Linked DNA regions of Mus musculus. The protein of the gene in region 2 interacts with the protein of the main gene of each other region in a biochemical or structural test. Links are inferred from orthologs where the notes say so. Each region holds a gene or a part of one and is shown on either strand. Other genes may lie near its edges.

Region 1 (5,373 bases), on a different chromosome or scaffold from region 2:
GTTAGGAGGTTCAGTTTGCCTTTCCTGCCCACCTAGAACATCTGCTGAAAAGGATCTAGGTACTTGTGTGAGAGAGATAACATTTGCTTCAGGAGTCCTTTTATACATCTTTGCTTAAGCATGAACATGGCTTTTTTTTTTTCCCATTCTAAGCAGGCTCTGGAGAACTGTGAACCCACTGTGGTTTTCAATGGGGACACAAACATAAGCCATGGAAGCCACTCACCGTTATTTCAAGTGGGCGACATCATCCAGTGGATCATTCCTTCCTGCTTGTGTTTCTGTGAGATGTTGCTGCTGAGTTACCCGTCTCCAGCAGCACTCTCTCTGGCTCTCCTTTGCAGAAGATACACGGTCCCTTCTTCCATCAAGTGTAGCAGATGGGCTCTTGAGGGTGCCTGAGTTGTCTGGAATACCTTGAATCCGGCTGTGAAAATTTAGGGCAAATCTGTGGCTCTCGGTTGGTGAACACCTTATTTGGTCTAGAGGCACTTTGCTCTGTGATTGAGTCATGAAGAGATATTAAAAAGGCAGCCAGTCTGTATTTTGAAGCAAACACTCAAGTCTCTCTTGTCATCGCGGACCCCCTTACAGACACACGGCACGGAACCTCGATTGAGCTGCACTGCTGTCTTTATTGCACATGGACCAATTCCCACACGGTAGTTAGTTGCACCAGAGTATAAATACTTGGTCACACACACAAGAAGAGATAGAATATACACACGAGTGCTAAATTTTACCAGCAGATTCACGGGGGCACTTGGACATTAAAAAATAATAATAAAAATACGTAAGAGAATAATATTTATAATATGGATACAGTTACAGTACCATGATAAGAGTATAAAAAGTAACTTCCCAATAAACCATCAACTCAATAACATAATAGACAAGAGAAACTGAGTTTGAATTTTATTTTAGCTTTTTAAAGATCTGCCCACCTCCCCATCCCAGTAAAAATATTTAATTTTTTTTGTGCAAGTTAACAACTTCTATGAATTTTACAATGCCTAACACTGTGCAAAATGGCCTTCCAACCACTGCCTTTTTTTTTTTTTTTTGCCGTCTTTGTTTTTAGCCACATGTGCAATAATCTCAACTGTTTCCTTTTTGTTCTGTCCTATCTTTAGTTGACAGAGTCACATGTCACAGAGAGAGACTCAGCGCCTGGTCCTTCCAACTAGTATTGATACATAAATAAGCTGTTTAATATAAACAAGTCTTTCTATCTTGCTGTGCAATATGCACAGAGTGAGGTAGAGGACCCACAGCAGGACCACCGAGGCGCGCAGGGCACAAGGTTTGCCCTCTAGGAGAAAGCAAGGTGAACCGTGCTCCACACATAGTTTCTCGAAACCAGATTTGTCTGTTTCGCATCCTTCTTTTCCCTTTGCTTTAAGAACAGGAGACACCAGTACTCCGGAATTAGTATGCAATTTCTTTAGAAAGCAAAGGGAAACACTTCCTGGCTAATTATCACCGGCCCCGCCCCCACACCAAACCTGAGCTGAATACTTAGGTTCCTAGGTGTGGAACCGGAAAGCCAGGTGATAGACTCCATCCTGCCCCCTCCCCTCCCCGCCTAGTTTCCACTCGGGTCCTTGCAGAAAGTGTCAAAACCCACCTAGGGGCGGGGGGGGGGGGGAATGCCTGAAGGTGCATTAAACACACGAAAGGCCGAACCTCAGAGAGAAAGGAACTCAAGACAAGCCAGTAAGCCATACTAAGCCACACTCTCCCAACTCCTCCTAAACTTTCCTTTTTGCGCAAACGCTCGGTCCGGGGCTTTTCTGTACGTCTCGGATGATTCGATAGATCTGTGGGCTTTGCATTCACCTGCTTTCGGTCTTGAGTAAACAGAGATCTCCTCTCTCCCCTGGGGAGCGGCTCAGGGGCGCCCAGGCGGGCTCTCTTCCTCTAGGGATGCAGAGCCCGTGTCCAGCCCGGGACTATGGGGAGCGGCGTCCGTGCGCCCAGAGAGCCTGGCTCTCTACACCTTGGACTCCGAGGAGAAGCCCTGGCGCCCCGGCTCGTCCAGGCTCGAATCGCTGTCCACAGTGGTTGTCCCGCCGTTGCAGCCGGTCCAGGGCTCCAGCAGGCGCGCCGGTGGGGTGGTCCCGGCGTCGTCGTCGTCGTCGTCCGAGGGAGCTCCGGGGGACGGCGGCGGCCCAGCTCTCGCCAGGCAGCCGGAGGCGCGCGGCCGGTCCCCGTGGGCTGCGCGGCGTCTGCAGGCGGCCCGGCGCGCGCAGCAGAGCAGGCGCTGGAAAGCCTTGCGGAAGTCGGGGCTGCGGCAGTAGATGATGGGGTTGAAGGCCGAGTTGGCGTAGCCCAGCCAGTTGAAGAAGACGAAGAGGCGATCCGGCACCAGGTCGCGGTGGAAAGCCTTCACCACGTTGGCCAGGAAGAAGGGCAGCCAGCAGAGCGTGAACACACCCATGATGATGCCCAGTGTCTTGAGCGCCTTCTGCTCGCGCAGAGCCACGAGGCGCGACGGCCGCCGCTTGCTGGAGCGCCCGTTGGCCAGCGAGTCTGCGGGGCGCGGTGGCCCAGGTGACGGCGAGGGCTCAGGCGAGGGCGGCCGGGCTGGGCCGCCGAGGAAGCGGCGCTCGCAGCTGTCGATCTTCTTTACCTGTTTTTGGGCCTCGCGGAACACCCGCAGGTACACGAAGGCCATGATGCACAGGGGCACGTAGAAGGAGACGACGGACGAGGCGATGGCGTAGGCCCTGTTGGTGACGAAATCGCAGCACTTGGGGTCGTTGTAGCAGCGGCGCGCTTCGTCGCTCTCGGCCCGCCACCAGTGCATGAGGATGGGCAGGAAGGACACCAACGCCGAGATGGCCCACACTGTGCACACGAGGGCCCGCGCTCGCGCGCGCGTCAGCAAACTCTGGTAGCGAAAGGGCGACGTGATGGCGAGGTAGCGGTCCAGGGCGATGACACACAGGGTCTCAATGCTGGCCGTCACACACAGCACATCTACCGAAGTCCAGAGCTCGCAGAAGAAGGAGCCGTACTCCCAGCGGCCCCACACCACGATGGTGGCCCCGAAAGGCACCACCAGCAATCCCATGACCAGATCAGCGCTGGCCAGGGACATGATGAAGAGGTTGGTGAGCGTCTGCAGCCGCGGGGTCTTGGCGATGGCCACGATCACCAGCACGTTACCCACCACGATGAGCAGAACGATGAGCGCCAGCAGTAGGCCCATACCCGCGGTCCACTGCTGCGACAGCGGCGCTGAGCCCTCGCTGGCTGGAGGCAGCAGCGAGGCGGGAGGCGACGCGAGCACCAGCAGCCGCGCCGCGGTGGCCGCACCGTCGGGCAGCGGCGCGGCGGACGACAGGTTGCAGGGTTCGGAGGCGCCCAGGGCGAGCGCCCCCGCGCCCATGCCGAGCTGCGGAGGCCGGGGGCGGGGGGTGTGGCGGGGCTGGGCCGCGCCTGGGGAGCACCCCAGGAGCCGGGGCTGCGGGGCCCGCGCGGGGAGGTCGCGGCCAGGTCAGGGCAGCCGCGGCTCGGGGCCGGAGGCATGGACGCCGGGCGCCTTCTCCTCCGTAGCCGAGCGCTGTCTCCGCCGCCGCCGCCGCCGCTGCTGCTGGAGCCGCTGTCGCTGCTGGAAGAGCCGCCGGGACCTCAGCATGTTTCTGAGCGCGCGGGGCCGGCGGCTCCAACACCCAGCACCTCCCCCCCCCCCTTCGCTGCCACCCCCCCAGCCAGCCCCCGGGGCCGCGCGTCAGGCTCCCGCAGCCAATCGCCGCCAAGGCACGCCCCCGACAATGGTGCCCCCACCCCCAACACCCAGCACCCCCTCCTACCCGCGATTGAAAGGCTCCAAAGATTGCGGGCGGACTACGCAGCCAGCACCCACGGGCTGCAGCGAGCGCGCCCTTTCCTGCTCAGGCTTCTTCCAGAGTCTAGTCTGCGGCGCCCCCTGCGGCGCCCCGCCGCCTCCTGTGCCCCCCGCCAACCAGTAGTCTCCGTTAACCTTAGCACCCAGCTCTCCTTTTGCCGCTCCCGCAAGAGCGCCCTTATTTCCCTTCGGCACCCCGTAGTTCCCTCGCCTCTAGTGCCCGGTTCCTGGTAGCTATAAGAGAACCTTACAGGCGTCTCGGAGACGCAGGAGTGCCTTGGACAGCCTATCTGCTGGGATTGGAGGAATTTAGCTGTGAGACTGGGGTTCTGCCATCAGGCAGCCTGGCTCTTCCCTGATCGCGAGGGGACCTGGCCAGCATGACAGCTTGGGGGAATAGGAAGTGGGTGTTAGTGATTAGAGGAAACTTTGCAGCCAGGCGGGTTGCTGGAGCAGGGTACGCATCTGTCAGAAAGGCTCTCTGGGCGCTGTTCTCGCGCGGAGCTGTGCTCTCTCCTTCAAGTGCAGTAGATGGGGAAAGGAAGGGAAGGTTTGTGGATGTAACTGCCAACACCGAGGACCAGTCGGATACACACACAGGCCCCAGTCCCAGCTAAAGAAAAGGATGAAAGAGTTCTGAATATAAAGGAGAAGTTTAGGGCAACATTCAGTCCAGGGTAAATGACGTCGCCCCACCCCCACGCCCCTCGTGGAAAGAACACGGAGAATGACGCTTCAGACTTTTTGACTCCAGTACCAACACCTTAACATCCGCATCTGTGCTCCGTTACCCATGGGATTTTGCAATCTGAGCTGAGCCAACACAAGGTGCTATCCCTTTTGGGTTGACGTCATGAACTGGGATTTCAGATTTCTTGGGAGGGTGGCTAGATTCTCAAAACTGTGGGATTAGCTTTGGGAAGATGAGGGAAGAAAATATATACATACTCAAGGCGATTAAATCTGAAAGCATTTAAAGTCATACCACATTTCCTCGCTTCACATTGTCGAGAGAATCCGAAACTAGAGTCTTTGGCTTCATTCCTGATGCGAACAGAGGATGGGACCTCGGGCTGAGGTCCTCTGATCTACCCCTGGGAATGCCTCTACCTCAGGCCGTAAAAAGGAAATCTGTAATTAAGTTCTTGAGAAGCGAACAGTTCCCAATTGTCTCAGAAGGGAAGGGTGCACGGTAGTGTTATATAATGTTATGTAATGCTCCCGAGTCCTTCTTGCATTGGAATAAAAAGATTAGCATCTGGGAGGAACATCAACATGTGGCCAAGCTGGTACTCTCACCTTGCCAAAAGACACAGGCTCACAGCTGTCCATCCACAGCCGTACTCTTCATAAAGTCAAACCCGTGGATGTGCCCTAGGATCAGGCTTGACCACTGAGAGTGTTACCACGGGGGAGTGATCTGTTTATTCACCCCTGCCCTGGACTTACCAAGTTCTGCCAAGTTGGGGAGTTTTGAGAATCAGGGAACAGGAACTACACCGAGGGCAGAAGGAGTTGGC
Region 2 (5,669 bases):
TCTGTCCAATCTATCTCTGTGCCTTCCTTTCCTCACCTGTAAAGTATATAAACTATATAATATAACCATAATACGTGATAAACAATTAGAATAACAGCGGACACATTGGAGGTAATTTGTAACTGCTGTTAAACAAATGCAAATTCTGTTCTTCACTGCCTCTATCACTTTCCACTTAGAATGGTGCTTTATAATCCTCAGCCTAACTTTTCATGAGACTGGCCTTTCAATGGAAATCTTGCTGGCTCAGGAGCATTCCTTAAGGCCAAGGACTGGGTAGTCCTCACCAGTCATAGCCAACTTTTCTCAAATGGAAAAAGGCACAAAGTCAAGCAAATTCATCCTTTGTAAAGATCTTCAGCTCTGACCTAATTTGCTGTCCTCTCCACGATGTGGGGGTGGGGCTGAAGAGGAAGAACCTACTGTTCAAAGCCAACAAACCTGTATGGGGCAGTCCCTTCCCTGCCTTGCCTGTCTGTCTTCTCAGTGCACCAGGCCCCACTAGTACTGTTACCCCTATTTAAAAGGAAACAACCAGAGAAAGGTGGAACAGCCTGCTAAACGTGGCACTCCTGAAAAGCCCCAGAGCCAGGATACACACCCCCTCTTTTCTGTCTGGGTCAGCTAAGCCTTTTGAACCGCCTTGCTTTCCTCCCACACTACATCCCAGACATCAAAGCTCTTAACTGCTGATAATTCCTTCCCATACTCTGATTTACAAAGATGAGTGGGTGAGTGGTTCCTTTTTTTTTTTTTCTTTTTGCCTGAAACATATTATTTCAAAGTTAAGCAAATGGAATGTAAGCTACGGAAACTCAAAAAGCACCACTCAGGGTTTGACTGGAGAAGTCAGCAGCCCTCAGCCCCCTGTGTCCTGCTTAGCTTTCCACCTGGCTCTAAATTTGGAGAAGGGGAAGGAGCTAGATGGGGGTACAGCGCTCCACCAAGAGCCTTCTTTTCTTTCCTGTAGCAGACTTGTTTGTCTGATTAACCTAAAACTTGACTCCTGTCCAGGTTACACTCACCATTTATATGTCTAGGCTCTTACTCCATTTATCTCCCTAACACCTACCCCACCGCCCCTCTCCACTCTTCAACTAGGGCAGGTGCCCTCCTCTATCCTGTCTCCACTCAATCCTCTTCAGTTTCTTCCAAGAGGACACATGGCCCTGCTCTGCAGATGTTATTTCACCTTATTCTTGCATCCAGGACGACCAGACTCCTTCCTCTAACTTTCCTCTATCGGAGGGGCACTTCTGAGAACTTTGCGAGGAATGAAAGACTGTAAAAAGTGGAGCGAGCCAATAGTGAAGTCTCTCCACGGGCTCCGCCTGCCAGGCCCTCTGCAGTTCCATGCTGGGACCCCGAACTCCAGCTTCCTTGTGGCAGGATGGAGCCCCAGAAGACTGTGCTGTAGATGGGCCACCAGGCTCGGCATCGGGTTCCCCGGATTTCTGCTTTGTCCAGTGTTGGGGTGTGGGCAAGTCGGGGCGTCCTGCAGGCTAGCAGCCCGGCTCACAGGGAAGCTGAAGACAGGTCCACCCAGGGATCCCGGCTCTCTTCACCGGCCTGCCCATGTCGGGCCTCCGCTCCCCTCCTTCCCGGCTCCCGCCTCCTCCCGCAGGCTGCAGGGCGGCCCGGGGCCTGCCTCTCCCAGCGCCTTCACTACCGGGTCAAGCCGCGGAGGGAGGGAGACGGCGGCGAAGCCCTCCCTGGCGCTCCACTCGGTGCGCGCGCCTCCTCCCTCGGCTCGCATCCCCCAACGCTCCCCCCTCCCCGCCGCCCGCTTGCATCCTGCCAGTACAGTACAACTAGTACACAGGCACACACGCGCACACGCGCACACACACGCGCTCCCTACCGCTGCCACTGCAGCTGCCATGGATATCGGCTAACAACACAGAGGCCGGCGAGCGCGCGCGCGCTCCCCACTCGCAGCACGCAGGAGTGGCCCCCGGCATCCCTACCCTCCTCCCCACCCCCACGCCACCCGCTCACCAGCTCGGCCACTGCTCGCGCTGGCTCGGCCGCCGCCACCGCCGCTAACGCCGCCAACGCCACCACAGCTTCCTCCGCTGCGGGGCCAAAGCCTTGAGTGTCATTCAAGGGACAGCACAACCTCACCCAAGCTCTCCTACCTCTGCCCAGCCGTCCCTCTCATCCTCCCCCTTCCTCCGCCACACTCCATCCAAAGAAGAGGGAAAGCGCGGAGCAGAGGGAGAGAAAGGCAAAGTCTGCCACCCTCTTCCCTTGGCCCCCTTGCTCCTCCATCCCGATTTTGACTCCCAGACCCTCCTTCCCAAAGGACCCTCTGGAACTGAGGCGACTCACCCTACTGCCATGTCCAAAAGCTTGAAAAAGAAAAGCCACTGGACTAGCAAAGTCCACGAGAGTGTCATTGGCAGGAACCCGGAGGGCCAGCTGGGCTTTGAACTGAAGGGGGGCGCGGAAAACGGACAGTTCCCCTACCTGGGGGAGGTGAAGCCGGGCAAGGTGGCCTATGAAAGCGGCAGCAAGTTGGTGTCCGAGGAGCTGCTGCTGGAGGTGAACGAGACCCCCGTGGCGGGGCTCACCATCAGGGACGTTCTGGCCGTGATCAAACACTGCAAGGACCCCCTCCGGCTCAAGTGTGTCAAGCAAGGTGAGCGCAGCTTGTTCGGTGCTCTGCCTGGCGGTGGGACCCCGGCGTGGGGATGGCATTAACAGGGTGGGCGCGGGTGTTGGATGGGTGTATGCTGCGCCACCGCGGGGTGGGGTCCAGAGAGCACGGTAACTGTGTTCGGAGCATTAGGGGGACCGGGACTGGGGGGCTGGCTGGCCGGCTAAGCCAGGTGGTACTGTAGCAGGCAACTTAGTTTGCCCAGTTGGACCCTCCCCTTTGGAAGATGCTTGGCCTTGTCTGACCTCCTCTGAGCTTTAGGCCAAATAGAATGTGCGCCAATGGCATGTCCACAGTGGACACAGAGCTTTCGGGGAAGGAGGAAAGCAAGGGAGGAGGAAGAAAGGAAGATGGAGCAACTTGAGGTGCAGAGCTGTCGCTAGAGAGAATGGGAGAAGCTCTGAATATTGGGGCAAGTGGAGACCCCTTGCAGGATATCCAAAACTAGTCTGGAGACACCTTGGTCCGTAGCGGTTCCCTAGGGATCACTGACGGGAGAGGAAGGAAAGGGACAAATTGGTTTGGACGCTTTGACCGGTAGTGTTCAGTAACTTTTTCCCTGCTTCACTCCTCGGTCTTTCTCCCCCGCCCATGGTCATGTCATGTGGGCACCGTGAGTCACGTGCAGACTGACTAACCCTAGAGATCGCCCCTGGCCAGCAGGCAGGAGGAGGGGCAGAGATTAAGAAGCGGGGAGCTGGGAGAGCTTTCTAATGTGGAAGGGGAGGCAGACTGCGGCATTACAAGGGTTCCCCTAAGTATTCTTCATTGACTGGAATTTTCTTATTGACTAGGATTTCTCTGTGGTTGGACTCTCCTCTAGCTCCAGACATGGGGGCGTGTTTGTGGCATAGAGGTGGATGGAGATGCAAGCTGGTCAACAGCCCAGGCTCCCTGTGTTCTAACTTGGCTTCTGTCAAGTCTCTTCTAGGCTGTGAAGTTAATTTAGAGAGATTGGAATCTTGCTGAAAAAATGTCTTTGCTTGAAATAAAATTGTGGTCCTGAGAGAAAACTTTCATTAGAAAAGACTTTATTGTACAAATGTAGCGTGCCTTTGTTTTCCTCTGGTGGTAATGCAGTTTCTTGGGTGGCACAGGTGGACAGGACAGATCTGTCTCAAACATACCAGCATGGTATGACAGTTTGTTATCTATTGTTATTTGTCTTGCGCCAGTGTTGAAATTCTGAGTATTACTGTATCAGAATTGCTCTTCATGCTGTGATCCATTATGAAGAAATACTATATAGAGCAGTTGTTTTTTTCAGAATAAAATTAACATGTAAAAAGAAAAGTTCCGAAGTAAACAAGAGAGAATAAAGGTTCATAAACTTCTCTAAAGCTAAGCTGTCAAGGAAGAAAACATCTTCAGTGGGATTTATTGAGTATCCATCGTATGTCATTTTAGATGATCTAATATAGACATGCAGTATTATATGACCCTGAAGAAGAGGGTTTACTATCCTAGCATTTTCCAAAGTGACATACTTTGAACTCAAATTCAGAAAATTGTGTTGCTACATTTTAGGTTACGATACTACATAATAGCAATAGATAACAAATGTGAAGTTCAAGGCTAGGGTTCAGTTTACTACAATTGACCAATACCGTTATTTGGTGGTAAAAAATATTGGTGTTTGCAAAGGAAAACAACTGCAAAAGTTAATGCTTTTAAAATATCTGTTTGTTTAGGGGTTGATGGTTTATGGATGGGTGAATGGATATGCCCACTGTGTGATATGGAAATCAGAAAACAGCCCTTGAAAATCATTTCTCCCCTACTGCTCTGTGGGTGAGAGAGGGAAATTAGGCTTGCTGAGACACTTTTCCTGAGATCAGCCTCACAAGCCCACGTTAATACATTTCCACAGTGATTATATTCTACTGTGGTTCCCGCTGATCATTTTATTCTGATGCCTACATGTTGAGGTAGATGTTGGCAAACTTTAATACTCGTAAACAATAAGTGTTTATGAGTATTAATAAAATAAATAATTAAAAGAAAATATTATCTAGTATTAGCAATTTACTAAAAGAAATCCAGAGAGACATTGGAAAACTGAAGGCATAAAAGTTGTGCAAATTGAGAATCTGAGATAAGAAATGGGATTTTCTGGCCTATTCTGTGATAATGCTCATAATAAAGCTAGGGCAAATTTGGGAAGTCTTTCCCTTGGGGAAGCATAATTTCTAGCAGAACAGAGCTGGGAGTGATGTTGTAAGATGAGGTTTCCCTACTGGACCTTGACAAAGAAGCAGAAAGATCTACAGAGGGTGATCCCTGCCCAGCCTTGATTTTAGCTAAAATTCATCCTGATCAATCAGCTTCTTGCTTGTATTTTGTTTGGAAGAATAAAGCTGTTCAGATTCAGGACACTTATTATTATGGACTGAAATATTTAGGTGAAAATCTTTTCACAGTATATGTTAACCCTTAGTCTGTCAGTCTCCAGGTATCCAAATATAGACATTCATCTACAGAATTAAAATAGATATAAATAGATTAATTAATTAATCTATTTTAGCTTTTTAAAATCTATAATCGTATATGTTTATTTAAATGTAGTGATTCCTATATATTCTCTTATAAAATTGATCTTTTATCAGTGGTGATTAGATTTATTTATTTATTTATAATTATGAGTAAGTGAAAATTGGCAGACATTAAATATAGAGCTTGTGATTGTTGGGTTTCAGTAGGGTTTGTACTTGTTTGAAAATTGGGTTGAGCTTTAGGCTTAGTAGTTCTATTTCTGGGGGGAATCAAGAAAAAAAAAATAGAAAAACATAGCATAGCCAGAGAACTCATACATGGCTTGCTAGTGAGGTGGATTTTTAAAAATATTAATGAGATTGATTTTAAAGGTTTAGTTAAATATTGGACATTATGCAGAAACTACATGTATAGTTATAGCAAAAAAAAAAAAAAGAACTTGGGGAGATTTGTTAGAAATGGGAGATATGTATAATAGAAAGCACTAGCAAAATATACCCCAAATAAATTGCCATAT

Evidence for each region. The genes of interacting proteins can lie anywhere in the genome.
Region 1: the proteins of Magi2 (region 2) and Adrb1 interact in a test that uses a peptide from one of them, tested with the Homo sapiens proteins (4 studies listed by IntAct, with this or other methods). The link is inferred for Mus musculus from reciprocal best matches to the Homo sapiens genes MAGI2 and ADRB1.

The regions. Positions count from the first base shown.
Region 1 is NC_000085.6:56,720,393-56,725,765, reverse strand, and holds Adrb1 (beta-1 adrenergic receptor), read right to left. Parts: upstream 3,650-5,373; 5' UTR 3,395-3,649; coding exon 1,994-3,394; 3' UTR 616-1,993; downstream 1-615. UniProt on the Homo sapiens protein: Beta-adrenergic receptors mediate the catecholamine-induced activation of adenylate cyclase through the action of G proteins. This receptor binds epinephrine and norepinephrine with approximately equal affinity.
Region 2 is NC_000071.6:19,224,949-19,230,617, forward strand, and holds the start of Magi2 (membrane-associated guanylate kinase, WW and PDZ domain-containing protein 2), read left to right. Parts: upstream 1-2,097; 5' UTR 2,098-2,340; coding exon 2,341-2,641; intron 2,642-5,669. UniProt on the Homo sapiens protein: Seems to act as a scaffold molecule at synaptic junctions by assembling neurotransmitter receptors and cell adhesion proteins. Plays a role in nerve growth factor (NGF)-induced recruitment of RAPGEF2 to late endosomes and neurite outgrowth.